Canis lupus familiaris: one gene and its partner. The protein of the gene in region 1 binds, or shares a complex with, the protein of each later gene. Links are inferred from orthologs where the notes say so. Each region holds a gene or a part of one and is shown on either strand. Other genes may lie near its edges.

The links. Proteins that work in one complex are often made in the same cells at the same time.
Region 2: GTF2A1 (region 1) and POLR2H share a complex: the UniProt entries of both Homo sapiens proteins name them as parts of the TBP-based Pol II pre-initiation complex. The link is inferred for Canis lupus familiaris from reciprocal best matches to the Homo sapiens genes GTF2A1 and POLR2H.

What each region holds. Positions count from the first base shown.
Region 1 is NC_049229.1:53,872,596-53,876,351, forward strand, and holds the start of GTF2A1 (transcription initiation factor IIA subunit 1), read right to left. Parts: upstream 2,453-3,756; 5' UTR 2,247-2,452; coding exon 2,217-2,246; intron 907-2,216; exon of another isoform or gene 888-906; intron 1-887. UniProt on the Homo sapiens protein: TFIIA is a component of the transcription machinery of RNA polymerase II and plays an important role in transcriptional activation. TFIIA in a complex with TBP mediates transcriptional activity.
Region 2 is NC_049255.1:17,412,658-17,414,824, reverse strand, and holds the end of POLR2H (DNA-directed RNA polymerases I, II, and III subunit RPABC3), read right to left. Parts: intron 1,892-2,167; coding exon 1,808-1,891; intron 868-1,807; coding exon 750-867; 3' UTR 505-749; downstream 1-504. UniProt on the Homo sapiens protein: DNA-dependent RNA polymerase catalyzes the transcription of DNA into RNA using the four ribonucleoside triphosphates as substrates.

The sequences.
Region 1 (3,756 bases):
TCCAAGCTATTATTTAAAATGCTAAACCTTATTTGAATCAAAATGTTTGCCTTTTACAAAATACAAAGTAATTTAGGTTTTTCTTGGCTTTCAAAACACAGGTATTCCAAACTTAAAAAAAGGTAAATTAAAGAGCCACTAATCTCATGATTAATTAAGAGGTTCCTTTCCAAAGTGTCAGTCCCCCCACACCCCACCCCGGGGAGGCAGAATACTGGAAAAATAAACCAAATTAACTTCTATCTTGAACGTTAATATCCAATGAAATCAAAAGACAACGTCAACTTCGAATTTTAATATTTTAAAAATCCAGTTTGCACTAAGCCTCCCCTCTCATTACTCACAATTTCCCTACATACAATAGATGCACTGTGGACATAAGGTCCACACGTTGAAGCTTTAGGCACTTTATCTTCAAAAAAGCTTTGTGTCTAACATTACAGAAAAACAATGGCATATAGGAGCTTTATTTCTAACACATTTTCTGAATACTCGATGGACGAAACACTATCAGAGTCATCAAGTACCCTGCAGCTCAGAGTTAATGTAGGAAGCGGTGTTTCTGTTGTCGTTTTCTTTAAATGCCCAACAATAACGCATTTCCCAATACAAAAATGACCACAGACCTCTGAGCTACAATCCTCTTTAAAAGCAAAGATAAAAATATAAGAAGGGACAGCAATTCTGCGTTCCCCCCCCCCCCGCCCCCTCAACAAAGGCAGGAAACCCTAGCTGCTGCGTCAAAACAAACAAACAAAAAAACTTGGGGACCCCCCCCCCCCTCCGAAAGCGGCCCCGTCGGGCGCGAAATCCCAGTGGCAGCTGAAGGACCTAGATATAAACCGGGCGCTCGGCTCGCTCCTGCCTCTCGCCTCGGGAGCACGCACCTCCCAGCCCCGCTCTCAGCAGCTCTCACTATTTAAAGCCGGATCTAGTGTTTAAATGGAGAGGCGGTGACGTAGGCCTGAAAAGCACCTTCCCATCCTGGCAGAGTCTATATTAGAGAGCGGCAATGGCTCTATATAAACAGGGCAGCCAAAGGGAGGAGGACCACAAGGCTCAGGGACTCAAAAGCAGGGTAAGCGGCCGCAGCCATGATGGATCGACCCGAGTCGCCAACGGTACGGAGTCGGGCGGCCGCGGGCTCGTCTGCGGCGTTTGGGACCGGGAAAAAAAACAAAACAAAAAAACAACAAAAAAACAAAAACAAAAACGTGTTTTTACGGTCAGAATAAAAATAAGAGTGGGGTGGACTAGTGATCGCATTGGCGTTGGTGACGGACAAGGTTGTTTTTATGTGACTGCTTTTTGCAAACCTACGTGATCGCAAGTAACCAAAAAGGGACAAACGGGGGGGGGGCGGGGGGGAGACGTAGGCAAATTTCAAGGCGAAAGCAGGGGCGCTGGGACCACTGTAGGCTTTTTTGTTTGTTTGTTTGTTTGTTTGTTTGCTTTGGTGCTTTTGCTAGTGGAAGATACGATGGGGGGGGGGGGTGTTGCTTCCCCTTCGCCATTTTACCGATTCGGAAGGAACCGAGATAAGTGCTTTTCAACCTTCGTCCTTTTCTTTCCTTTTTCCTTTTTTTTTTTTTTTTTAAGAAATATAAAATGGCCTCAGTGAAGGCTCCCCCTAATAAGCACAACCGCCAGAAACATCCCAAGTAACCCCCAAAGTAGCCGTTCGCCTTCCACTGCACTGAAGTGGGCCACACGGCGGGTCCTGGGGACTCGCCCGATTCCCCAGACGCGGGTTTTGTCTGTGGAGGCTGCTCGGGGCGCCCGTGTCGAGCCGGCGCGGCCGGGCCCCCGGGGGGGGCGCAGGGGGGGAAGCGGAGGCTTCACGCCCGCCCGCCCGCCCTCCCGGCGGCCGGGGTCTGCGGCCGGAGCCGCGCGCTCGCCCCGGCCCAACGGCCTGCGCGGCCCCGACCGCCCCGCGGCGGCCCCAGGCCCCGCCGGCGCCCCCGCCCTCCTCCCGCCGCCGCCGCCGCCGCCGCCGCCGCCGCCAGCCCGAGGCGCCCTCCCCCCGCCCCCCCCGCGCCCGCCGCCCCGGCCCGCTCCGCCCGAGGCGGGAAGCGGCGGCGGCGGCGGCGGCGGCGGCCGCGCGGGCGGCTGAGGAGAGTAGAGGCCGGGAGTCGCCGCCGTCCCCGCCCCCGCCCGGTCCGGCCGTTGCTGCCGCCCGGACGAAGCCCCCGCCGGCCACCAAACCACGTCCTTACCACGGTGTTTGTATTTGCCGAGTTCGCCATTTCCACACACAACACAAACAAGAGGGGGGGCAACCCCGAGAAAACAAGATTAAAAACAAAAAACCAAAAAGAAAAAAAAGAAAACCAAAACACCCGGAGGGTGGCCCAAGCCACCGCAAGATTGGGGGTAAAAATTTCAAACAAAATCGAATCCTGAAAGAGTAGAAGGGGAGCGGTGAGAGGAGGAGGAGGAGGAAGAGGAGGAGGGGGGCAGTCCTCCCCGAGCTAAAAACCTCGAGAATCGCCCTTAAAAAAAAAAAAAAAAAAAAAAAAAAAAAAAAAAAAAAGCCACGACCCTTCTGGGGTCCGGGGGGGCGTTGCCCGCTCCCCACCCCGCGCCAAGGAGGGAAACCACCACCGGTCGCCGCTCCCCGCGCCGCCGCTGCCGCCACCGGCTGCAGCTCCAGCCGTCCGGTCCGCCCGCTTCTCCCCTTTATATAGTGAGCCAACGAGCTGCGCGAGCCGCCGCCGCCGCCGCTGCCGCCGAGAGACAGGGCGGAGGGGGAGGGAGGGGCGGAAAGGGCGGGGGCAGAGGTGGGCGGGGCTGAGCGCGAGACACCGCGAGAGCCGCGTGCGCAGGCGCGCCGGGGCGGAGGCCGCCGTGGGCCGCGTCGTCACGCGCAGCGGAGGGTGCTGGGCTGGCGGAGCGCGGGGACTGGGGTAGTCGAGTCGTCCGGCCGGCTCCCCAAGTCTCGCGTGATCACCTGGTTGCCACCCAGGCGGAAGTGCCCCACAGCTGTTTTAGGCTGAGGGGCTTGCAAAGTATCGCTGGACATAGCATGAGTGGTGTTGACCCTCAAGTCCAAAGCTACCTGGCAGCCAACTCTTGTCAGGTGTTTCTGCGTCTCCCTGCGCTTGGAGAAGCGAGGAAATACAGAAGGGGCGCTGGCGGCTGCCTCGTTAGCAATGGCTGCGGAGGCGGACCGGTCACGTGGCCCCGCTTCCGGCCCCCGGAGCGCTCGGACTCCGGGCAGAGTTTAAATGCGGAGTCATCTCGGGGCGTGAGCTCGTCGTGGACTCGGCGCTCAGAGGCGTCGGTTCCTCTCGCGTCGCGAAGGCCGGGCCCTTCGCCGGCAAGATCGTGTACGTGTTCCTAAAGGGGGAGAGCTGCTTTGAGCCCGCTGCTAACACATTTCAGAATTAATGACCCCTGAACCGGCTGAGTCGTTTCCACCGGTACAGCTAAAAGGCCCTGGGCTTAAGTTTCCCCGAGGTTCGGCCCCTTACTAGCGTGCTAGTACTTCCGTGGTGGAAATGCCGAAAGGAAAAAAAGAAAAAAAAAAAAAAAACCGACCTGCATATCACCGGATTATGACAGCACGATAACGTCCCCCCTCGATTTTTAAAAACTGCCGAAATCCTGTGACCGCATGGCCCGCGCCTGGGACTGACAGGAAATACCTCGGTGGGGCCGCCCCGTCTCGCGGCCTCTCGCCGCCGGAGCGAGCAGAGGAAGCCCACGTGTCGGAGTGTGAACCAGGAGGCGCCGGACCTGCGCTGCTCCCGACTC
Region 2 (2,167 bases), on another chromosome or scaffold:
TCCTCCACCTGTTCCTATACCCACCAAATCTGCTCTTCCTATTCTCTTCATAGTAGCATCCCAAGCCAGGATCTAAAAGCCTCCATCCAAAGCTTCCACAAAAATGATGAACATTTCCAGGCTGTGCAAGTGACTCATTCAAATCAACGTGATCTGACTTCCTAAGAGACTGGAAGTGTTGCAAGGACACAAGCGGGGCTCCTTGCCAATTCAAAATTCTATGCCAAATGGGTGGTATCTTCCGGGGCTGGGGTGCCCTCAAGAGCCAAAAGCACAGTACTCTCTCTCCCAGATAGAAAATCACATTGGAGGATAAATATTGGGGATAGTAAACCAAGAGGCTGAGACAACCCTAAACCCAGATACCAGGAAGCCAGAATAGATTCTACATTGACATGTGATCACCTGGCTGTGGGCCAGAAATAGAATATACCACAGGCAAATTGGGAAAAAAAATGATTTTAGGGTAATGGAAAAGATTTTTTTTTAAAGGTGGAGAAAAGAGTCTGAAAAAGCAAAGTTTAATTAAAAAATCATATACACAAAACAACTTCTGATTCGTTTTAAGCTCTCCCACTGGGTCTTTCACAGGCAAGTTTCCCATTGAGTCCAGATCACCTAAAGATGTACCCCCAGAGAACAGTCAGCCAGCCCTTTCTGACCAGGTGGTCAACAGTAACTGCTTCTCAGGCTCGAAAGGATGTCCAAGGCCTGAGTGACTGAACAGCAAGGTTGGCTTCCTGGGTGTTTCAGAATGCCAGTTTCTTCATCAGCAGATAAACTCTGGAATCCACTTCAAATCCATGCAGGTTGTTGGCATCACCCTGCAGCCTCATGAGCAGGCCACCATAGGACACATAGGCAGAGCTGAAATGGAAGTCCCATGAGTTTAAGCTCTGGAGCAGCAGCAACCCAGTCGCTCTCCATCCCAGCTTAAGAAAAAGAGACACCCTTCTAGTGTTTTGTCATTAGGAACCAAAATTCAGACAAAGATGAATGCACAGATATGTGCAAAGTAGTGTTCTTTTTATCAACAAAAGTGGAAAATGCTACATGCCCAAAATAACAGAAATGGTCAAACGAATTAAGGTATATCCATTTACTGGAATGTTATGCAGCTATTAAATTGTTTAAGGAAAGCTTTAAACTGACACATGGAAACCTGTTTTATATAACTTGAAGGCAAATGAGCAGAAGAAAACATTGTAACAAACAACGTGATCTCAAGGAAAAAAGTACACAGGAAAAAACCTGGAATATTCAAAAATGTTTGTGTAAAAGGTTCCCAATGGGTATAGAATTATAGGTGACTTTTCTCGCTTCTTCAGATTACTTCTCTGCTTTTCCAATTTCTTACAAAGGGAACATACTGTTTTAATAAAATTTTAAAGAAGAGAAAAGAATAGTTGGGCAAGGAAACCAAAGAACTAGGGATTGGATTACAGAGTAGGGAAACACACACACAAATAAACAAATACCAAAATACCTAGCAGTTTAATCACTTAATGCTGCATTTAGTTCCTGGGGAAGCAACCTTCCTTTGCACTTCCCATATCAAGATCATCAGTTTCTCATTTGGACCCCTGAGCCCTGAGGTCCTGACAAAGGGCCAAGCGAGCAGCCTACATTTCGGATTGGAAACTGTTCCAGAACAGACAGTTTCCTTCTAAGTCCTACCTAGGTCTGAGGTGCTTGGGGAGAGACCCAACCCAGGAAACATGAAGCATGGCCCAAATTTTCAGAGCAGAGCTCAGATTATCTGAATAGGGCTGGGGGACAAGGGTTCTCACAAGACTATGGAACTTACAGACGCGTTGCTGCTTCAGTAGAAGTTTCGTCGCCCTCAATTCTGTATACTTTCCCATACATTACATACTCAAACTGGTCAGCCCTGTGGAACAGTAGGAGCAAGGTTATTCTTCAAAGTAGTAAACAAAAGTAAGAAGCTCTTTAAAAATGGTTAACTGGAAAAAAAAAATGGTTAACTGGTAACTAAGTGTCACCATTCTAACAGACGTTTTCCAAACACAATGCCATTTAGTCCTCCCAGCAACCATATGAGCAAGGTGTGATCATCTGCACTTTACTGATGGGGAAACTGAGGCTGCAAGAGGTTAAAGCCATTCAACAAAGAACTGATAGGGCTGAGATTTGAACTCAGTAGAGC